Linked DNA regions of Canis lupus familiaris. The protein of the gene in region 1 purifies or fractionates together with the protein of each later gene. This does not show direct contact. Links are inferred from orthologs where the notes say so. Each region holds a gene or a part of one and is shown on either strand. Other genes may lie near its edges.

Region 1 (5,823 bases):
TAAGAGCTAAAATTTGAAACATAGTATCTTACAGCCTATATTTTTAAAAAACTAAAACATATTGCTTCATTGTATAAAAAAAACTCAGGACAAGTGAACCCACTCATAAAAAAAAACTAATTTACCACATTTCTGCAGACTCTGCTCTTAGGATAAGGAACAGAGCTGGGGTAGCTACATGAGATCAAGGTAACAACACAGCTGAGTAGTTTAGTCCTTTTCTTTCTTATTCTAATAGTCCTATCTAGGCGACAACAATGGTTGGCCCTTTTGATGAAATATGAAAAAAAGGAGTCAAATGACTGACTTTACTGCAAAAACATATACACAGATACACTATAGTTACAGCTAACTATAAAATGACTTAAAAGTTTATAATCTTTGCATATAGACCAGAATAAACCAAGTTATTCTGATAGCTGCTGTCCACACCAGTCTCCAGCACCTAGCCCAGATATAACAAGCTTTAAGCACTCTTGACGAATATTTTTGAAAGCTCATTCAGAATTCCTAGTTTTATTGCTCAGAATAACATAACTCATTATCCATACCTGCTCTATCAAGTATTCAAAAATCACATGTGAGGCCAATGATTTGTATAGTTCATGTAAAACATTTCCATCACAGCATAAAGTTCTACTGAATAGTGCTTATGTAAACATCTTAACAATTACATTTCTATGAAAATATATAAGCACTGTAAAGGGAAAGAAAGAAAGAGAGGATCAAAGGGCAATACTCGGGGATCCCTGGGTGGCGCAGCGGTTTGGCGCCTGCCTTTGGCCCAGGGTGTGATCCTGGAGACCCGGGATCCCACGTCGGGCTCTCGGTGCATGGAGCCTGCTTCTCCCTCTGCCTGTGTCTCTGCCTCTCTCTCTCTCTCTCTCTGTGACTATCATAAATAAAAAAAACAAAAACAAAAAACAAAAAAAAAAAGGGCAATACTCATAACAAGGATATTCTCAAGACTTTCTGTAGAGCACAAATAAAAGAACAAAGAAAACTGTGAAAAGTTGTGTCAAGCACTACTCCCAGGTACTACTACTGTACACACTGCAGAATCCTAAGACTCTCATTAAACATAAATCTCATGCTCTATAAATCAAGCATGGATAGAGCAATAGAAATAGTCAGTTTCACCTTCTTAATAGTGTGTACTGGCATAAAACAATGGACTTAACTCTACCCCTTACCCCAAAATATAAGTACCCAGAAGAGCAAGGTTTTGTCTGTGTGCTACATTAGTCTAAGTACTGGGTTATGTAATAGGTGTTTAACAAATATCTGAAGACTGAATGAATAAATGTGTCTATTTCCTAAGAACACAAACCTAGTCTGAGAATAAACATTACCAATCCTCAGACACTACATTCCAGTGTCTTCTTTCAGATCCTAAATGTACTGGGCTTATTATTGCCTTAGGGCCTTTGCTGAGTGCCATTTCCTATCCCTGGAAGGCTCTTCCCATGATCTTCACATGACTGGCACCTTTATACAAGCAAAGTCTCATGGCATGCTAGGTAAGTCTTTGGTGACTTCGGATCTGCAATGAGAAGTTACCACCCCGGCACTCTCTGTTGATCTAACTTCCTTTATCATCATGCTACTCACCACTCTAAAATGATCTAGGTAGTAAATTGCCTTCTATTCCTACTTTGGTGATATAAACACAAGACAACCTTGTCAACCTTGCAGAGTCCACAGTATAAGGCGCATAGTGGATGTTCCATGAATGGGGAGACGATCATTCCATGATAGACATGAGTGTTCTCTATCTAAACCAAATTAACCGAATTCTTTAGCTCAGCATCCCCATCTGTTAAATTTTTATACTATTTGGTTTTACTCACAATACCAAGGGTTACTTTTCACCCTTCCATACACTAAACTTTAAAATTAAATGGAATCGCAGCAAACTTTACTCAGACTTACTGCAGATGTTTTATATATTTATTTTTCCATCCTTAGATCTTGGCTAAAGTTTGATATCCTAACTAAAATGAGGATATAACTCTACCACTGGGAGCAGCAGAAGTAAAACATCTGAAGGAAAATGATGCAGACATTCGGAGGTACTGTGGTATCATTTTAACATCTATGGAAAGTCTGAAACTAGACCATAATTCTTAATTAGTCACCGTCTGAGACAAACTTCCCAAAGCGGCCTTCAATGCAAGGCGGTCCACATCCCAAGACACGGCTGAACACTGCTACAAGCCCCTGCCCTGCCCGGGTGAGGCTAAGGCTCCTGAAAAAATGTCCACCTGCAACATTACTCAACAACAGAGCCCTTCAGAATCATTTTCTTCCAGATTCTGTGAAAGTTTTAAATTATATATAGTCATAGCCAAAAGACACTGATCTAAATCAAACAAAAAAATCAATGTATCTATAGGAAAGCCAAGCAAATACACGAAACCGGAGAGGGAAAAAATATATAGCATTTGACCAGAAAGGTATTTTTCTTTGTGTCTGAATTTTTAAAAAGCAACAGCCTAAAACACAATAAGGGGGGGTGGGGTGGGGGGAGGAGAGGCGGATCTTGAAATACTTTACACATTCTTAAAGGTTTTGGGTAAATCATTAATGACATACACTGAGATCAAAGAAAAGGTAGCGTGTCTTGAAGCCAGACAGAAAACCAACCGCAAGGAGCCTCCGAAGGGACAGATGTTACACGGTTCCTTTACTCTCGAGCCATCCAGTTTCAGTTCCTCTGTGTTAGGGAAGAGAGCTTTAAAATGTGTTTTCTAACTCCATGCGTCGTAAAGAGGAAGCGACCGCTCGGTGACCCGCTCCGGGCAGCAGCAGCAGGACTCCCGAGCTCCGCCCCAGCCGGCCCCGCCCCGGGGCGCGCAACCCGCGGGGGCACCGGAGCCAGCGCTCGCGGGATCGGCGGGCGCGGGGCCGGCGGGATGGGCCGGGGCGGGCGGGATGCGCCGGGGGGGGGGCGGGATGGGCCGGGGCGCGGACCGCGGCGGCGCTCCCGGTTTGGGCAGCGCCCGCCCCCCCGGGCTCCCGACCACAGCCGCAAAGCGTAAGGCGGCGGCCAACTGGCAACGCGCACAGACGAGGAGGCGCGGCCGCCGCGGGGACTTAGTGCCTCAAGAACGCGGGATCCGACCCCCCGCCCCCCAGGCTGCTCTTACCCCGGCTCCTCCGCGCCGCCTCCTCCTCCTCGGGCCAGCCGCACCCACCGGCACCCGACCCCCAGCTACGGTTCTCAGCTGATGGGCGGTGGCACTGGGACGCCCAGTGCGCATGCCCGCGACCCGGCTCTGGGGAGGAGGAGGGGCTCGTCCCCCTCTCGTTGGCCAATGGGCTTGAGTGACAACCATTCTGCCCCGCCCCCTCCGAGTCTGGGCTAAGGAATGGGGGCGGGGGACCAAAAAAAATTTGCAAAGGAGGTGTTTTTCGAGGCCTAGCCTTACAGACGGCAAAAAACCAGAGGAGGGAATGGAGAGCAGCTGCGCTGATCGGGTGATGGCGGCCCCCCCAGGCTCACGCCTTCAGCCTGCCCCATCAGGGCCTGCCCAGCCTGTCCTTACTCTGCAGTGGAACGTATCCACAGCTCCATTAAAAAATGGTAACGCAAATAAGCAATGCTAGCAGGAACAAAGACAGCATAAGTGAAGAGTCACCTTCGTGTGCCCATTTAGTAGACTAGTTTTCATAGCACATGCACGTCGTTCCAAGCATCCTTGAAGGGTAGAGTGTTGTTTCAGCAGGGTTTGAAAAAAGCAGAGAATGTTCTACTGGTAACTATTAAAACATAATGTAATTGTTAGATAAATGCATCAGTTGCATTGGGTGAAAGAAATACTCAGCAAATTAATTAGAAGATAGAATGGGTTGGCCTTTGCCTGTATTAAGGCAACACTATTATTCTGAAAGGATCATCAGGACATGAAATGTCCAGATGCACTTAGGTGAAAAAAATCAAAACGAAATGTCTTGAGTTGGTACCATCTGAGCCAACTCTAGGTTGTTTAGTAGTGTACATACATATGTGCCTAAGAGAGTGAGGTCAGACAGGAATAAGAAACACAAGGGTCTCTCAGTTTGTTTTTAATTGTTCTGTTTTTAACAGAAAAAAGGGGAACCAGAAATATTTCCTATTTCACATCTTTCCTGAAGTAAACTGCAGTACAAGTGTTTTAATAGACAGCCACCTTTATTCTGCTTCTAAAAGGGGGGCAATAGAGTGGGTCTGCTGGCCAAGCAAAAGAAATTCATTCCTTCTAAAGGAAACAGGAGGACAGCCTGGGTGGCTCAGCAGTTTAGCACCACCCACGGTGTGATCCTGGAGACCTGGGATTGAGTCCCGCATCAGGCTCCCTGCATGGAGCCTGCTTCTCCCTCCGCCTGTGTCTCTGCCCCTTTCTCTCTGTGTCTCTCCTGAATAAATAAATAAAATCTTTAAAAAAATAAAGGCAGCATGATTCAGTTAGCACTGATTGCAGACTTTCGGAAATTCAGATTTTTATGTGAAATCCCTTTTTTCAATATTCTTAAACTTTTAGAAAGCATTATTTGCTCAGATAAAGTATTTCAGCTTCTATAAGGCAATAGTTTCAGCTATAAAGTATAAAAAAAAAACAAACGAAAAAAGCTGGAGGAGGACTTACAGAAAATCTAGTTCTACTTCCTCATTTGGGAAATAGATTAAAGGAACTGAAAGCCAAAGAAACTTCGTCAAAAGGACACGAATAATTATAAGCAGCACCGGTCCAGATGACTTAATTCAGATTCTTTAGTTCTTCCTACTATCTCATCAACTCAGCAAATGTTCATTGAGAACCTGCCATAAGCCAGGTACTATTTCAAGAGCTGCAGATATCAAGATGGGGTGTATAGTATTTTCCCTCAAGGAACTCAAGGCGTGAGATCCTTCCCAGGACACTATAAGAAGTGTTGTGATAAAGATTTATACACAGATTGCCATGAGCCTAGGGGTGAAGATGCCTTAGTGTCTGGTCAGGGACCATTCCAAAGGGGAAGTGCTACCAGAATCTTGAAAGATGTGTAAGAGTTCACTGGGAAGATAACATGGGAAAAGACATTTTAGGCAAAAGGAAGAGCACATAAAAATTCACAGGCAAGTGCAAACTCTTAGGGATCTCTATATAAATTTATTTAGATTGGAGGAACATAAGACTGGAAAGGTAAGTGGAGTTTATATAATGAAAAACCTTTTCTGTATCATGTTAATAAATGAATATTTAAGAGGAGTTAAACTATTAAAGGATTTTAAACTAAAGTGTGATGTGTTCATAATACTATGCCATGAAGAAAACTCTGTAGGAATGGGGAATATTCAAAGGAATTACACTGAGACTGGAGAGAGAGAGAGAGAGAGAGAGAGAGAGAGAGAGAGAGAGACTATAACCATTTAGAAGGCTATTTTAAATAGTAGCACACACCCAATTTAGAATCTTCCCAATATCAGAGATATTGAAGGACTGTCCTAAGGCAAATGCACCAGGAGAGAAAAGGGAAAGCCTGCTCTGAGAAGTACTTAGGAAGACTTAGAAATTAATTGGATACGAAGAATGGAAGAGATAACTACTATTTTCAGGATGTGCACTAAACATGATGTAACTATATCACTAATATAGTAACTTCTGTTTGAGGATGAAGGTGGTGGGATGGGGTGGTGGCGGGGGGTGGGGTGGGAGAGAATGCTACAGTAACTTTATCTTTGAAAGTATTGTAGTTAAGATTCTGGGAAAGTGATATCCAGTTTGAAATATCCTCCAGGTACTCTGAAAATGTGAGCTGGAATTTAAGGGAGAGCTCTGGCTGCTGGACTTATGGGAAGAG
Region 2 (5,627 bases), on another chromosome or scaffold:
AATAACTCGAACCCCTCTCTGGCTGCACGGTCGCTTATGGCAGTTCCACACAGTAGTTGGCGCCCAATGGGGGGTCCCTGAGACTTGCATGTAAAACTAGTCTAGATGTCTTCTTTTTTGTAAGTTTTATTTTTGTAATTGTGCATGTAAAGCATCATTGAATCAATGGATCTGTTGAAGAACTCAGCTGCTGGAAACCATGCAAAATGTTTTGAATTGCCCTTAAAATATGGAAAATGTTTTCTGAATGCTTTATATTCTTTCTGCTGTAAATTAAAAATGAAGAAAATTTCCCCATACTATGTGTGTGCTTTGCTTTAACTTGACCTGACACTGAAATCCAGGGTGACCAGCAGGTTTCAAACCCTTAGGAGATGATTTCATGTATTTCCTTAGATCCAGAGACAGTGTCTTGGCATTGACTGTTACAGAGTTTCAGACATGTCCATGAAAGAAAAACTTAGGAAGCCACTGTCCCCTAGAACACTTGCTTTTAACTGTCTTCTCAGGCACCTCTCAACATACCAGCTACTTGAAACACAAAGACACCAATCTGAATTCACCACTGCTGCTGAAAACCTCTGCTGTTCTCTATTAAGATCCATCTTCTTTTCTGAGAATTCTGTCATTATCTGCTTTCCTTCCACTGCAGAGCATCACCCTTTCTCCCTGGTAGCGGGTGGGAGTGCTACTGCCAAATCTCCTGTAGGGTCTCCCCTAGCTCCCTGCCCTGTGGCTTCCAGAGCCCTTGCATTTAAATGATAGTTTCCTTTCTTGTCTATCCTCACTCCTTACTCTTATTTTCACCTGGGCCCCAGCCTGCCCCTTCTGGTTGGGCGGTTGCAAACCGTGCCCATTTCCACTGTTGCCTTTGTTCATGTTTGTTCATCCCTTGCCTGGAAAGTTCTCTTCTTATCTACTTACCCAACTCAAATCCCACCTCCTCGGTGACACTCTTATTTATTCTAACACACACCGACATTCCCCTTTTCAAATTATTACATTGACAGTCGGAAAAGACAGTTCAGTATTTAAGTTTTTGGTTTTTTGCTTGTCTTTTTTTTCATTTCTCATCTCATCTGCCGGTTGACCTGGCAGTGTTCTGGGTGTTTAAGGTAGGCGTCGTCTACGTTAGGAATACTTCCAGGAACAACTTTCAGTACGTTGCAAAGAACCTCGCTGCATTCGGGTTTGGGCCCCCGCCTACGGCCCCGACCAGAAGCTGAGGACCTGCTCTGCGCGGGGCCCGGGAATACAGAAAGGTAGAGAGTAGGGAAGCCCTGGGGGGCCCAGGGCGTGATCCTGGAGTCCCTGGATCGAGTCCCACGTCGGGCTCCCTGCATGGAGCCTGCTTCTCCCTCTGCCTGTGTCTCTCATGAATAAATAAAATCTTAAAAAAAAAAAAAAAAAAAAAAAAAGCGTAAACACAGCTAGCTCCTCCCGTGCAGGCTCCCGTCCCCAGATCCTCATACAGTGTGCACGACAACCGAGCACACGAGGCGAGGGTGTCTAACCCCATAACGCCCGCGATAAATACCCCAAAGAGCCTTCCTATCTCGACAAGTTTCCCGGGGGGGGAGGGGAGCGCGGCGTCCCCAGGACCACTCGGTTCGGGCGGGACGGTCGGCAGCCAAGCAGGACTGTCACGGCCAGGGGAATGGCCTCCGGGCCCAGGACAAACTACCAGCCCCCGCCCTCTATTCCCTGCACCTCCCTGCACCCTCCCCGCACAGGGCCTAACGCGCCGCGTCCCCCAGAGTCGCAAAGGCGGCTGCGGGCAGAGCGCGTCCGGCACCACCGAGCCAGAGGCGCAGCCCCGCCCCTCGGTGGCCCCGCCCCCAGAGGCCCCGCCCCCCGGAGGCCACGCCCCCCGGAGGCCACGCCCCCGCTGGACCACGCCCCCTTCCGGCGCGCCCCTCCGCGGCCGCGCCCGGCGACGTCATCGGCCCCGCGCCGCCGCCCCGCCCGGCTCCCGGCCTTCGGTCCCGCTGCGCCGCTCGGCTGACCGTCGCCCGCCGCCGCCAAAATGTGAGTGACGCGGCGAGACGCGGGGCGGCCTCGGACCCCAGGGGGCGGCGGCCCGCGGCTGGGACCCTTCCCCGGCTCGGCTCCCGCCGGCAGCCGCTCGGACGCGGGCCTGCGCAGCGGCTCCCGAGGCCCAGGGGTGGGCGGCGGCCCCGGGGGTGTGCGGGCTGCAGGCGGGCCGACCCAGCCCCGCCGCGCACCCCGCACCCCGCACCCCGCAGCCCTGCGGCCGTGGGGCTGTCGCGGAAGCGGCGGCGGCGGGGAGCCCCAGGGCTTCCCGGAGCTAGGAGACGCCCCACCCCGACCCCGACCCCGACCCCACCCCTTCTCCCCTTTCCCTAACCCCCGGCCCAGGGTCCCCGAGAGGAGCGGTGGCCACTGCCCTAGACCTGGGAGCGCCTGTCCGCCGCCTGGGGCTGGGCTGGGCTCCGGAAGTTGCGAGGGAAAGAACCTCGGCCCTGTGCCTACGGGCTCCAGTGCTCAGAGTGGACTCCGGAGCAGAGCCGTGGATCTTCCCTCTTTAAGCAGAGGCCGCCTCGAAGTGGCCCTTGAAACCCCAAGTTTTCCCGCAGTAACATTCAGAGGAAACTGTCAAGAGTCACGAGGACCGTCTAGCCCCCTCCACACTGTTCTTGCTCGTCTACGGAGGAGGAAGGCATGGGTACTTTCCCGGGTTCCCTCCGGGGACTAGGGTCGCTTCTCCGGAGTGTACCTGCCGCGGCTGCCGTGCCAGTAAATCACAATGGTTAATTAAGGTCTAGATCGGTGGAATTATAGGAGACCTGGTCTAAGACAGGTTCCACTGCAACCAGCACTGTTGACTTTCTAAATCCCACTTTTTGCTTCCAGAAAATGGGGTTGATAGTAGTACACACACACACCCTCAAAGAGTTGAAAGGACTGAATGAGAAAAATGCTAAGTGAGAAAATGTGCCATTGCATGGTTCTTCGCTATTACCTATCAGAGAATAAAAATAAAGTGTAAGGGCAGGCATGGGATCTGCTGCATCCCTGGTCTTTGACATGTGGTAGGTATAAAATAACTTGAATCAGTGGGTGCATCAGTAGCTGTTGTAGTCAAGGCCCAGGCTAGGTGCTGTCTTGGGTACAGGGAAGAGACCTGTAAGACACAGGAGTCTGTGATCTATCAGGGAAGGCAAGACATTACAGATGACCCTTGAACAATATGGGTTTGAACTGTGCAGGTCCACTTACAGGTGGGTTTTTTTCCAATAAATACAATACAGTAATGTAAACGTATTTTCTCTGTCTTACGATTTCCTTTTTTTTTTTTTTTTTTTTTAAGATTTTATGTATTTATTCATGAGAGACACAGGCAGAGGGAGAAGCAGGCTCCATGCAGGGAGCCCGACATGGGACTCCATCCCGGGTCTCCAGGATCAGTCCTGGGCTGAAGGTGGCGCTAAACTGCTGAGCCACCTGGCCTGCCCTTGTCTTACGATTTTCTTAACATTTTCTGCTCTAGCTTACTTTACTGTAAGAACACAGTGTATGATACATATAATATACAAAATACTTGTTAATCGACTGTTTATGTTATTGGTAAGGCCTTTGGTCAGCAGTAGGCTATTAGTAGTTAAATTTTGGGAGGAGTCAAAAGTTATATGCAGATTTTCAACCATGGGGAGGGGGAGGGGTCGGCGTCGGCACCCCAAACACCCCACCTTGTTCAAGGGTCAGCTGTGTGTGTATGTGTGTGTGAAAAATGAAAGCATGGCCAGCCAAGAAACGGAAGCGATAAGGACTTCAAAGCCACAGTGGTCAAGAAAGATCTGGCTGGAGAGCAATAGGCCTTCAGTTGAGGATTTGAAAAGAGAAGTACCTTTTAAGAGAGGAAGCACTGCTTCATCTCACCTTTCCCACTCACACCACCCCCTCCTCCTTGCCTCTTGATGTTCCTGACCCTGTTTATATAAATGAATATATTTCTCCAAACTGGAAAAGTGGCATTCTGTAATTGTTCATAACCATGAAAACAGTTCTCGCCACAATGAGAGTTCAGGAGAGTACTGAGTGCATTTAAGTAGATGTGTGCATTTAAATAAAAAACTGGAAGGTAGAGTTTCTCTATCTTAGGATCCCTGATCTTAAGATCAGGTGCCTCAGTGATAGAAAGTGATATTAAACCTTCACTTGAGACCCTGCTCACTTTTAACATATGATGAATCCTGGAAATTATAGAGGAATTAGAAGAAATGTCATTAGAACCTTTGTTCCTTACTGTAGGAAGGGTTTCTTTTTCTGCTTAAGTTCTGAACCTTTAAACAGTGATGCCTTGGGATAATGTCTTCATACTTATAAAAAATGTATCTGGAATCATAGTTTACTCATGCTTGTGCCTTTACCCATTTCAGGTCTGCAGGTGCAACCCCAGGGTCAAGTGCTGCCTCTGGCAGCAACCGAAGACTTCAGCAGACACAAAATCAAGTAGATGAGGTATTGCTCTAAAATGTTGAAAACAGTGAATTTTAAACCAACATGGGAACACTCTGGAAATAAATCTTTTTAGAAAAAGTATCTTAAAAGCATGACTGAAAAGGAAATTTTGGCTGTTTCATAACAAATGAGCTAAGCTTCTGAGAAGTCAGTACCCAAATCACGTATCTAAACCACAAATACTCCTCCCGAGAACATTCTTCCAAGGATCACTTTATAAAATATATTTTGCCACAATTAAAAAAATTGGAAAGAAAAAAAGAACTAGTTTATAAAATAGGGTAATTGAGTTTTAAGGATTAGGTCTAAAGTTTGTTCAAGCCAAGACCAGTCCCTCCGACCAGATTTTTCATCAAAATGCTGCTTAAAGTGTAGCCTGATGTACAGGTTACCAGGCATGAGCAAGCCTCTAGAACTCAGTTCCAGCTGTCGCCCATTCACGTACATAAGGCAGATGCTGGCAAACTGGTCTAGCCCAACAAATCTATACTTGTGGAATTCTTGAACTAGAGAACCCTCACAGCATCTTTTGTTCAGCTCTGTATATGCAGACCCACAATGGAAGACTGTGAGAAATTCAGATTAATGTTTCTATAGCCCGGAGAGCTACCAATGTCCAACAAAGACATGTTGATCTTTCTGGATTTAGCTGCTTTAAAAAGCAGAGTTAAGTTTAGGTTAGACTGCATTATTAAATCATTTGGTAATGTTTTGGTCTTATGGTTTTGTTTATGAACTGAATTCTGAAAATTTTTACGTTTCCACGGTAAGAAACCCATTCTGATTCCATCGGGGATGAAACTTTTGTTTACTTACAAAATCAAATTGGGTCCTTTTTCTTAACCAAAGGAATTTTAAGGAGAGGTTTTGTTTTGTTTCAATTGAGGTAAAATTTACATAGCATACAATTAGCCATTTTAACTTGTACAGTTCAGTGATATTCGGTGTATTTATAATGTTGTGCAATCATTACCTCTGTCTAGTTTCACTGCTTTTGCATCACGCACAAAGAACACCCTGTATACATATAGTTGTCACTTCCCATTCCCGTTTTCTCCCATTCCTGGTAACCTATAATCAGCTTTCTGTTTCTATGGATTTGCCTGTTCTGAATGTATCATATATAGGCGATCATACAGTATGTG
Region 3 (5,601 bases), on another chromosome or scaffold:
TACTCACTAATCTTTGTCTTATACTTTTCCTTAAGCTCTTCTTTCTGGCTTACCTCTTCATTCAGGACATGGAACCCAAAACCACCCCTCAGATGATGGTGAAGGCCCTGATAAGACCTCCCACCAGCCCAGACTGCCTAGACCTTTTGAACTAAACCGTTACTCGTGCCTGCACACATAGACCATAGAGTGACCTCTGAGATGACCTACAACTACCATTACTTCATTATAATACTACAATATCTGCCCAAGGAGGAGCCTAACATACAACACATATAGGCATGTTTCCTTAAGGCACTTGAGCAACCTTACGCCCACCTCTACAAGGCTTCCCCATCTAAATATTCATCCTAACCCTAAACAAAAGGAACCCATTCTACCTCTCGGGAAGTCATTCCCTGTGATCTCCTTATTTGCTGCAAATAATTTTTCAATGTGTGGCTACTCAATATGGTGCAGTTTCTGACTCACCAAGGCACAAACTCACGTTGGTTTGGTTGCACCTTTACAATTGCTGCCCCACTCTTTGGGAGACTAGGGGCTTACATGCATTATTATTTAACCTTCATGATAATCCACAAGCTAAATATTATTATTCTGTTTTCTGGATGAGAAACCAAATAACAAAATCCAGGTTCAAACAGGGTTTGTCTGGCTCTGAGGACTCTTCCATCTCCAAAAGGACTGGTGACCTTGAGAAAGTCACTTAACCTCCAAGAGTCTCAGATTTCTCATTCCTAAAATGAGGATAATAATGGTAATTACCTCATTATGAGAGCAACCGAGATAACAGCACAGTCCCTGACACACAGAAAGTGCTCAGTGATAATTAGCAATTAAAGTTCACAAAGCCTATAGTGTTCATGGATAGCATGAGAACTGGCTAATTGTAAGGACTGAAATGCTATCTGGAAGGGCTCTTGAACCACCGCTGGGAAGAAATTGCCATACCTGGCCTCCTGTTAGTCTCTCAAAGGAGGGCTCTCCAGGGAAGTGCTGTACACTGTATGAAAAAAATCACCTTACTGCTCACTTGGAGAATGCTCATTAGAAAATACATGCATTCTGGTGGAGAGTGCACAGTATCCGTAGCTCTGCCCTGCCTAGAGTGTGTGACCACAGGAAGTCTTGAAACCTCTGAACTTTGGTCATTTACAAATTGGAAATAATGCCTTCTCCCCAGGAATATTGAAATAACGCACATCCAGCCCATTAGGGCATTGAGGAACACATAGTAAGACCTACATAAAGGAGTTGTGCAACATAATCAAGAGTCAGATAAGGTATATGAGCGAGCTTTATGGCAAGGGCGAGATGGAATTAATTATAAATCAGTGAGAGTGACAAAACATGAGAGACAACTCTGGGAAACGAACAAGGGGTAGTGGAAGGCGAGGTGGGGGGGTTGGGGTGATGAGTGACGAGGGGGGCACTTGGCGGGATGAGCACTGGGTGTTATGCTATATGCTGGCAAATTGAACTCCAATAAAAAAAATAAAGTTATACCATAAAAAAATTATAAATCACATGCCATCAAAATAAAGTGTTAAAAGTGCAGGAAAGGTAAAAGGATAGTACGAATCAGGTCCTAGCGCAGAGCTTGAAACCCTAATTGGCCCCCCCAGTAGGGAGCAGGCAGCAGGGCGGGGCGGGGGCGGGGCCATACCGCGGGACCACGCCCACCCGCCTCAAGCCCCGCCTCCAGGGCTGCGTGACGCGCCGCCCAAGCCCCGCCGACGGGGGGCGGGGCTGGCCCTGGTCACGTGAGCGCGGGTGCGGAAGTGGTGCAGCGGGCGGCGTCTGTGGTTGGCCGCGGCCGCGGGTGCCGGGGGCGGGGTCAAGCCGGCCAGACGCGCCGGGAGGAGCCGGGGGAGGAGGCCGGCGCGGGGCCCGGCGTCAGGTTCGGGGATCCGGTGTGCCGGCCGAGCGAGCGCTGGAGCCGCGGCGGTCCGGTGCGCCCCGGCCTGCGCGCGCAGCTGCTCTGGGTTCCCCGGGCCGAGGCGCCGGCGGCTGCGGCAGGCCGGTGGGGTGGGCGGAGGGAGGCTCGGCGGGCGCGGGCGCCCTGTGCGCGGAGCAGGCGCGAGGCAGCCGGGGGCCGGGACGCCATGTCCATGGAGGACCCCTTCTTTGTGGTGAAAGGGTGAGTGTCCCCGAGGGCTCCGCTGGAGGAAGAGGTGGCGGTGCTGCCCGCCTGCACCTCCCCGCGCGTCGCGCTGGAGGGGGAGGGGAGACAAGTGGCGGCTATAGGGACGGCTTAGCTTGCAGGGCCATGACCAAGCGTCCAGAGACGTGCCCTCCCCGTCCTACCTGGACTGTGAAACCCGCCGTGCGCCCCGAGCCAAGCCGCTGGGGCAAGGGGACGCCTTTAGGGCTGTGCGCGGAGATGCAACTTGTTTGGGGTTCGAGGGGATCAGCAGCTCTGCAGGCGGCGGGGGAGACAGTCGTCCCAGCCCTCGCTGGGGTTCTAGTGGAGCACGGGGCCCTACTTCGAAGGAGGGAAAACAGCATCTGGGCAGGAAAAGGGAAATGGCCCTCCTGAGCTTTGTAGTTGGCGTTGCTGGGGGGTGAACTCCCATTGTCCATTGAGTTTGGAGCGCCGGCCCCAGAGCGGTGAGACCACAACACGCCCAGAGGCGTCTGAGCACGTTTGCAGGCTGGGTTGCGGGGGAGCAGGGCTCCGGCAGACAACTCAGTTCAGTGGGGGCGTTTGTACTGAGTAATAGGAGGGGAGGGAAGCAGTCGTTCGAACTCGGCGATGATGTTGGAAGGAAAACAACATGAAATCAGCCAAACTAAACTTTCCTCAGCTTTCTATTAGCAACTGGGATTTTCCCACAGTGCTAAAGGAAGTGAGGGCTTTCTTTTTTAACTCCCTGATTTCATCCAGGCTCTTTGACAGGTTTCCCCCATTTCTTATCCAGCCTTTCAGAACAGGACTGCCTTAACTTATTTTTCCTCCCCCCCCCCTCCCCCGCCCCCTATGAGCTGTCCTGACTCCATCTTTGATTGCTCGGTTGTTTGGAGATACAAACTTTCTTTGCATTCTGTTATCTTTGGAGCCATTAGGCAAATGCAAAAAAGATGGATTCGCATGCTGTTGTAACTTGTCAGCTTTATGTTTTAAATGTCAGTCATGGAAAAAATCCGAGAACTACGAAGATCCCAGGTACTAATAACCACGAAGTGTCCCTTTGCTTGCAACTAGTTGCTGCTACCTTCCTATTTCTGTAGTGGTAAAAGCTGACCAGTTGTGTTTTTTTGAGGCTTTTTCTCAGAAAATTTACATGGTTCTGTAGGTGAAGTCCTTTGTTATCCATGATACAATAAAAAAAAAGCTTCATGACATTTCCCTAAAAGGTTTTTCTCTTCATCCTAAGGTAGATGGGGAAATGCAGAGTCATAGATTGATCAGTAATATGTGGCTCTCTACCTCGAAAATGTGTTGTTAGATTAGTTTAAGGGGTTAGTTTTTGAATGTTAAAGCCGTGTGTCTTTCCCTTGAATGAAAGTTCTTAATGCTTAGGTTGCAAAGATTACCTCTGGCAGTGGAAGCCAGGGATAATCAGAAATTTTTCGTTTGTTTGATTTTTAGTGAAATCTCTGAAAATGCTAAGCTCTGCCATCTTGGTCTTTTTTTCCTGGTGGTATCCAGTTGAGTCTCTCAGTGCTCGCTCACTGATCAGATATCACTGCTGTATTAGAACATTGGCCCGGATTCTTGGTTGACTTTTGTATCCTTTTGGCTCATGTCCTTAAGGTGTCTGAAGGAAGGGATTCACAATACCTTCTGCTGTAAAAGGTAAAGTTAGCCACATGGGTGTGTCCAGACTGTGATAGAATATCTGGGGGACTGTGTACCTCTGTTTATTAAAAGTATTGAAAATGCATCGCAGAATGTGGAAAGATTAAATGCTTAAATTGTGGCCCTTTGCCCAGAAGCTGATGGTTCTGAGAAGCAACTTACCCCCCAAATTAAGTAGAAATGACAGGTGATAAATTAAGCACTGAAGCGAATCTTACAGGTTAAGTGCCCCGGAAGTTCTGAGAAAAGCAACTCATTAGAAATGGTTAGGATTGGAAAAGCTTTTAGAAGGAGTAATAGGTCTTGAATTAGGTTTTGAAGATAGGTAGAATTGAGATAACTCAGGCCTGTGTCTCATCTGGACTCTTATTAAAAAGAGTCTCTTAATTGGTCTGCCTACTTCTAGTCATCTGCCCTTGATTATATTGGGTTAGTGCTGTCTAAAATATAATATGGGCCATATATGTCATTTTATATTCCCTAGTAGCCAGGTTAAAAAGTAAAAAGAGAGGCACTTGGATGGCCTAGTCGGTGGAGCATGCTACTCGATCTCGGAGGCATGAGTTCAAGCCCCACATTGGGCATAGCGCTCACTTAAAAAAAGTAAAAAGAAACTGGTGAAATTAATTTTAATGTCATCTTTAATGTAGTCAAAATATCTCAGCATGTGGTTAATATAAAGATTATAACGGGATATTTTACTCTTTTGTACTAAGTTTTCTAATTTGGAGTGTATTTTACACATATAGCCCATCTCAATTTGGACACTGAATTTTTCATCAGAAATATTTGTTCTATATTTAGAGTTCGTTAAATTTATAGAGTTGAAAATGTAGATTCACATACCCAAACATTCCAAACGTACTTGAAAATTTTCCAGTTACTGAAATGCTTATCAGTTTTTAAGTTGAAATTAATTGAAATTTAAAAGGTAGTTCCTTGGTCACACCAGTGCACTGCAGGCGTTCAGTCATCACATGTGAGGCCCACATTGGGCAGCAGAGGTATAGCTCTTGGGCAGGGGCTCCCTACTTAACATTAGTTAGTGGCTGGCTGTTGCATACAGAATAAAGTCCAAGCACTTCTTGACCACCACGATCCAGCCTTCCAGACCTCCACCCACTCTGCCTACCCACAGCTCAGAGTTCCAGCAAGGTCAGACTGAGTGATTGTGACCACAGTACTGGGTGCTCTTACTCCACATACACTCACTTTGCCTGGTTCACCCACTAAGTTTTGAAGATTCAGTGTAAGCATCTGCCCAGCCTCCAGGAAGTGCTTCCCCTTGGCACTTGTAACACGTTTTTGCACCTCTTCCTCTGGCTGTCTTTCATTATTATATTAGACTCTGAGCTCTGAGGGTTGGGACTGTTTATTTTTCCTGTATTTCCAGCCCAACACCTTGAATATGCAGCATAAATGTTAAATAAATACTCGTGGTGGTGGTGGTGGTGCTGGTGGTTAAGGAGTAGTGATTCATGGGTGGGCACATTGCCAGCAAATGCCCTGAGATGAGCATTGTGTATTAGAAATTATCAAGGAGAGCATCCCAGGTGGTGTAGGAAGTTTATTTAGGGGAAGTAATAATAATAGCTAACATTTAAAGGACGCAACTCTGATGCAGGCATTTTGTGCTAAGTAAGCAGTTTATAAAAATTTTCACTTGATGGGAACAGCTCTGCAATGTGGATACTAGCCACATTTTAGAGATGAGGAACTGAGGGAGCACAGAGGGGTTAAGTTATTGGCCTGGGGTCACACAGCTAATAAGTGGTAGACCCAGGATTCCAATTTGAACT
Region 4 (5,851 bases), on another chromosome or scaffold:
TGGGCCATTTTAAGAGGCCAAGATAATTAGTCATGGCAATGGAAAGCACTGGAATATAATGGACTATATATTTACTCTTAGAGCTGGACAACACAGCATGAGCTCAGTTGTAGAGCTCTGTGTTTGAAGCTCTGCACTGGTCACTGGTGTGACCCCCTGCACTGGGCGCAGGTCCCTTACTCCCTTTACCAGTGACCTTGTCTCCAGCTGTAAAGATAGTCCACTCCTCAGGTCAGGTGTACTAAGTACATTCTCTATCTCTCTTTCTTTCCTTCTTTTTCTTTCTTTCTAAAGATTATTTAACACAGAGAGTGTTCCCTAAGGCAGTAAACATATTTATTTGAAAGAGAGAGAGAGAGAGAGCCCTGAGAGGGCAAGCCAGGGGAGAGGCAGGTAGAGGGAGAGGCAGAAAATGGGGGTCTGATCCCAAGACCCCAGGATCATGATCTGAGCCAAAGTCAGATGCTTAACCGACTGAGCCACCCAAGCACCCCCTAAATGACCTCTTTCTATCAGAAACTATAAAACTAAAACGAAGAGTCAAGATACAAGTCCCACCTAAAACTCTAGTCTTTGATTGTTCTGCAACTGCATCACTACAATTTAAAAACTTTCAGATAACACAATGCACTTAAAAAGAAGTTTGCTTTTTCTAAAATGCAACGCGTTGCTTGTTTCCATCCTTCACACACAAAATCAAAGAGCACTTTCCGAACCCTTAATGTTCAAACTAACAGGAGCTCATAAATAAGATGTGAGCAGAACCAGCAGTCCTCCCCGCTTCCCACCCACCCCCCACCCCCCGCCTTGACCTGAGCATCTCTCCCCTCCAGCTCCCCCTGGCGTCCTCTCGATCTTTTATCGGGGTCTGAAACCTTCCAATAGGAGTTCTGGGGTCTGGGGACTAGACCATCCCCTAAGGCGGGTGCTCACACCCACGTCCAGCCCCCAGCCCTTTCTCATGGCACATCAGCTGGGATTCTACGAGTTTCTGGGTCCAGGGGTCGATTTGGACTTGGCAGTCTCGCAGTTCACGGCGGGGGGGGTGTCTTTGGGGGCTGCGTGGGGGATTAAGGCCGAGGCAGAGCCAACCTAGAATGAAAAGGATGACGGGCACCCTAGTCATCCCTTCGGCGGGGGGGGGGGGGGGGGTAGGGGGGGGAGACCCTTGTCCCTTCTAGGTGCTGTGAAGCCATCCCAGTCCTTGAGGCTTAGAACGAGGAGGTGACTCCTCGACTCCCCGGGACCTTAGGGCAGGAGAGAGCGTGGCTCTGGCTCAGTGTCCCGCGCTACCTTCCAGGTGGCCCCCGGTGTCCCTGTTTGCACTATTCGTCCCCGGGGCTTGCAAACCGCCCAGCCCGGACACGCTCGAGGCCTCACCGTTGAAGCCGATCACGGCCTCGAGCTCCAGCTCCGCCACCTCGGCTTTGGGCGAACTTTGCTTCTCCATCCCCTGGAGCCTGGGCTCTCCACTCCCTCCTCTCGCCAGCGGCGGCGCAGCGTCTCCTGGTCGTTATGGTAACGGACGTGCGCGTGCGCACCAGGTCCGCGGCCGCACGCACTGGCGGCGGCGGCGCAGGGAGCTCCCGGTGCAAGAGCAGCCGCGCTCCTTGCCCTCACTATTTCCCTGGAGGTGTAGGGGCATTGAGTGTGCTCGTTCCCTCCACGGAAAAACGTCTGTGACTTCTTCCCCGACCTATATAACCAAGCACCGTGTCATTTAAGGAAGGCCGCTATAAAGTAATATATAATTGCCACTTCTTTGGGTCTCTTACTTGAAGCAAGATTGCAAGGAATCTTTAAGCTTTGTGGCGGTACACCTCTACATAGAAAAGTAACTCTGAGTGCGTTCTGGCAGATTTCTACAGTTGTGCAGCTATGCCCACCGTCTTGTTTTTGCTTTGAGCAGGATGACATTTCAGATGCTCGCCGGAAAATGCTGAAGATTTCTGTCCAACGCTTTTATTTAAATCGCGCCGGGTCGCTCGCGTCTCGCAGCGGGGGAACATACGGGATTAGACTGCTCCATCCTGGTGTTCCCCGGGGGGACGTGGGGGCCGCCCCCCTTTCTGGACCGTCCCTGCGAGGCCCTGGTGCACCCTCCCCGCCCTCCCCCCCCTCCCCCCCGCCAGGCCAGCTCCGGGTTGCGGTCGCGCCCGGGCGGAGCAGCGGGGTGTGAGCCGCGCCGGCCGCCGTAGTCCGCCGCCGCGAGCAGGAAGTGTCCGAGGGCGGCGGCGGCGGCGGCGGCGGCGGCGGGCGGAGACTGCACGATGGCCCCGGACCCCTGGTGAGCCCCGGGTGAGGGCGGCCGCGCCGAGGGTTCCGGGGATGCGGTGGGGGCTTCAGGACGAGGGAGCGGCAGCGAGGCCCCTTCCCGAGCCCGGGGCGGGGGGGTCGGGGGGAGGACCCTGCCGCGCGCCCCGCAGCCTCGGCGCCCGCAGGGGCGGCCCCGCAGGCGGGCCGGGTGGTCTCCGGGCAGCGGGGGGCGGGGGGGGGCAGTGCGCAGGCCCGGAAGGTGCCCGGAGCCCTGCATTGGCTCGCATCGGACCGCGGGCATTTCGCGCCCGGCCCGGATCCGCGCTGGCGGCTGCGGGCTTCCCCGGACTCCCCCGGACTCCCCGGGACTCCCCGGGCAAGTCCAGGCGGAGTGACCTTTCTCTGCGATGCGGCTGCAGCTGGTGACCTCGCCGCCGCCTCTCGCTTCACCCGCGGAGAACCCGGGTTCACAGCCCACCGCCACCTGCGCCGGTTAGTAACCAGTCGGCACTGGGACCTAGATCTCTTGGGCCCTTCCGAAAACTTGGAGGAATCGCGGAGGGGAATTGCGCGTGTTTGTATGGCTTGTGATGGGCCCTTACCTGAGTCCGTATCCGGAAGGGCTGTTTGTACTGCAGCAACTTTGCAGTAGAACCAGAGCTCATGAGGGTCGTTCCTCCAACACCCTGAGTCCCAAGGACTGGATGGTGACAGACACGAGCTCTCGTCCCAAGGAACAGATTGCTACAGAATTACGGACTGAAGCTGTTTTTGTTTTTAAGATTTTATTTATTTATTCATGAGAGAGGCAGAGACACGGGCAGAGAGAGGGAGAGCCTGATGCGGGACTCGTTTCCAGGACCCCGGGATCACGGCCTGAGTCCAAGGCAGACGCTTAACCACTGAGCCACCCAGGAGCCCGGAGGATTTTTGCTTTTATGAAAAAAAATGGGGAAAGCAAAAATAGCATTCGGTGTTTGTTTTGCAGCAAGCTGTCATGGAGACCTTGCACCTCCCAACCCTCCCCTCAAGCTCCTTCCCTGAGAACTACATTCAGCATCTCAGCGTCAAGCTGTCATAGCTTTGAATTGTGTCAGTGAGCATCCAGGCTTTCACTTAGTTTATTTTGTGTCTCCATTAGCAAGGCGTGCCCTAAGACATCAGAAAAGCCCTAAGGGAGGTTATTTTGGGGGGTTTAGGAAAGCTCAAAAGATATTCCGTATAAAATAATGGTAATTGTTGGTCCCTTTGCTTTACATTGTTTCGGCTTATGAAAGGTTTTGTAGAAAGACTACTTTTGGATAGTGAGGGAAACCTGCATGTTTTACAAAGCAGGGAACATTTCAACCATGTCATTAAGTATTTACTGAAAACATGATTTCTTTTTATGGCGCACAATAGCGCATTCTACGAATAACCATAATTTATTTCCCTCTCTGTAATGTTAGAGTATGTTTTGTTTAACTGTTGCAAAGACTGCCCCCGTTGTTCCATTTCTTATTTCCTCCTCTTGCTCACTGCAGACGGGACTATTGAATTGAACGGTATGAACATTTTTAAGGCCCTTGATACCTATTGCTAAGTTGTCTTCCACCTCCTGGAAGCTAACCCCCTCACTTTACACTTAAGGTAGGAAATAAAGCTCAGAGATGGTTATCCATTTAGACTGGTGGAAGCGATCATTGGACCCCCAAGCCCCTTCCCCAGTTTATGGAGAAAACACATAATGTGCCCTTTTACTCTCATGTAGTTTGACCTGGTGGCTTTCTCATTTGACTGTTGACCGTGAGAAGTGCGGGAACTCTGCTGTGTTAGTATCCACTACCTTGCACAGTGGGTTGCTAATCAGGAAGGTAGAAGGGACTATGGAACAGGGCTATGAAAAAAACTATAAACACAGACTTGACTACGTACAGCTTTGCCTTTGGCCATTGAAAAATTGTAGGTCAGTGATGCTCTACTCCTGAGTGGCGTTCTAATGTTCACTAATGGGATACAGCAGTGACTGCTTTAATGGCATCAGAGCAAGTGATAAGCGCTGTCTCTGAACTAGTTATTTGCTAAAGTTTTTTTTTAAGTTTTTAAAAATTTATTCATGAGAGACACAGAGAGAGAGGCAGAGACACAGGCAGAGGGAGAAGCAGGCTTCCTGAAGGGAGCTGGATGCGGGACTCAATCCTGGGACCCCGGGATCACACCCTGAGCCGAAGGCAGATGCTAAACCACTGAGCCATCCCCAGGTGCCCCTGAGATTTTTTTTTAAGTAAATCTCATACATAGATGAATTTGTGCATTCGGTGTTTTTATGGTAGAACAGGGGCTCAGTTCACAGTCTGGGAACTTCCTCCATGTCCCCCTTGGTGGGTCCTCAGTCTCTGCTATGGTGTCACCATCATCTAGGTCACTTAGGCCTGAGAACTCCAATCATCAGCTTTTTCTTCACTTCTCTTTTTGGGTTGTTAAACCTTTGGGTTTTCCCCAAATGCCTCTGGCATCTCTTTGATACCACCTTTTTCTGCTCTGGGCCCATCCTTTCAGCTCTGTGCCTTGCAGACAGTAGATACTGGTGACCAGTTATGGAATCACAGAGCTGGAGAAGTCTCCTGGTCTTCTGCTACTCCTCTCTCATTCCCAGCCTTTTGTGTAAACAAGTTCAGGTGGATTTTCCTAAACTAATACTTTAGGCACTTGTGTACTTGAACCCGTGATGAGGCTGGCCATTACCATCACGCCTGTTTTCAAGGCCAGGTTCTCATACTTCCATACAGATTGGAAAACCCCCTGGGGAGTCTTTCTCAATTGCTCCTGTCCTGATCAGACCCCATTCTAGTTTAAGCAGAATGCCTGGGGCTGAGTGCCAGGACTTGGTTGCATTGTTTTTGTTGTTTGAAGATTCCTCAATGATTCCAGTGGGTAGCACATTTCTAGAACCTCCGCTTGTCCAGGGCTAACGTGAGAATGTGAGGATTGGGAACAGAACGTCTGGGATTTTGACCTGCATTTCACAGGACCTCTTCAAGGGCTCACTCCCCTACATCTCTAAAGCCCTCTTGTCAAGTCTCACCCGATGATCCTGGTGTTCGAGTCTCTGCAGAAACTAGCTTCCCCGCATCTGTGACCCTGTGATACTGTATCCTCCTACCTAGGGCCACTCAGCCCAATGTGCCAGGCCTGTTTCCTTCCTTTCACCTTTGCTTGTTTCTTGTGTCTTTGGCCCAGTCCAGAATGTGCCTCTCCCTCCTGCCTCTCAATCTTGCAGTTCAGCCCAGAATATAATCTCTTGGCCTAGTCCTGTCAAATCTGAGTGCCTCGGCCGCCAGTGATTTCTCTCATTTCCACACTCCAGAAGGACTTACCAGTTATGTTCCACAGTTGGTAGGAGCTATAGCATACATCATTAGTGATTTCCACAAGTATGGTCTAGGAGCACAGAGCCAGACCTAAGTTCCTCTTTTCAGAGAGGACAGTATGGAGGGGAAAAAGGGGAATGTGGCAAAGCTGGGGCTAGGACCCAGTTTCCTTACCAACTTCCTTCCTGTTATCTTTTTTTTTTTTTTTTTCTTTTTGGGGGGAGAGGCAGAGAGAGAGGGAGGGA

Evidence for each region.
Region 2: the proteins of STX7 (region 1) and VAMP3 purify together in Homo sapiens (affinity purification with mass spectrometry; 3 studies listed by BioGRID and IntAct, counting the BioPlex papers as one, with this or other methods). This does not show direct contact. The link is inferred for Canis lupus familiaris from reciprocal best matches to the Homo sapiens genes STX7 and VAMP3.
Region 3: the proteins of STX7 (region 1) and STX6 purify together in Homo sapiens (affinity purification with mass spectrometry; 3 studies listed by BioGRID and IntAct, counting the BioPlex papers as one, with this or other methods). This does not show direct contact. The link is inferred for Canis lupus familiaris from reciprocal best matches to the Homo sapiens genes STX7 and STX6.
Region 4: the proteins of STX7 (region 1) and STX8 purify together in Homo sapiens (affinity purification with mass spectrometry; 5 studies listed by BioGRID and IntAct, counting the BioPlex papers as one, with this or other methods). This does not show direct contact. The link is inferred for Canis lupus familiaris from reciprocal best matches to the Homo sapiens genes STX7 and STX8.

What each region holds. Positions count from the first base shown.
Region 1 is NC_049222.1:25,723,281-25,729,103, forward strand, and holds the start of STX7 (syntaxin-7), read right to left. Parts: upstream 3,284-5,823; 5' UTR 3,150-3,283; intron 2,816-3,149; exon of another isoform or gene 2,596-2,815; intron 1-2,595. UniProt on the Homo sapiens protein: May be involved in protein trafficking from the plasma membrane to the early endosome (EE) as well as in homotypic fusion of endocytic organelles. Mediates the endocytic trafficking from early endosomes to late endosomes and lysosomes.
Region 2 is NC_049226.1:61,913,021-61,918,647, forward strand, and holds the start of VAMP3 (vesicle-associated membrane protein 3), read left to right. Parts: upstream 1-1,924; 5' UTR 1,925-2,026; coding exon 2,027-2,028; intron 2,029-3,328; exon of another isoform or gene 3,329-3,871; coding exon of another isoform or gene 3,872-4,204; exon of another isoform or gene 4,205-4,400; coding exon 4,401-4,482; exon of another isoform or gene 4,483-4,569; intron 4,570-5,627. Other genes in the region: putative protein SCAMPER, read right to left, coding at 3,872-4,204. UniProt on the Homo sapiens protein: SNARE involved in vesicular transport from the late endosomes to the trans-Golgi network.
Region 3 is NC_049228.1:14,370,167-14,375,767, reverse strand, and holds the start of STX6 (syntaxin-6), read left to right. Parts: upstream 1-1,898; 5' UTR 1,899-2,105; coding exon 2,106-2,140; intron 2,141-5,601. UniProt on the Homo sapiens protein: SNARE promoting movement of transport vesicles to target membranes. Targets endosomes to the trans-Golgi network, and may therefore function in retrograde trafficking.
Region 4 is NC_049226.1:34,296,539-34,302,389, reverse strand, and holds the start of STX8 (syntaxin-8), read left to right. Parts: upstream 1-2,148; 5' UTR 2,149-2,270; coding exon 2,271-2,287; exon of another isoform or gene 2,288-2,298; intron 2,299-5,851. Other genes in the region: CFAP52 (cilia- and flagella-associated protein 52), read right to left, coding at 1,381-1,450. UniProt on the Homo sapiens protein: Vesicle trafficking protein that functions in the early secretory pathway, possibly by mediating retrograde transport from cis-Golgi membranes to the ER.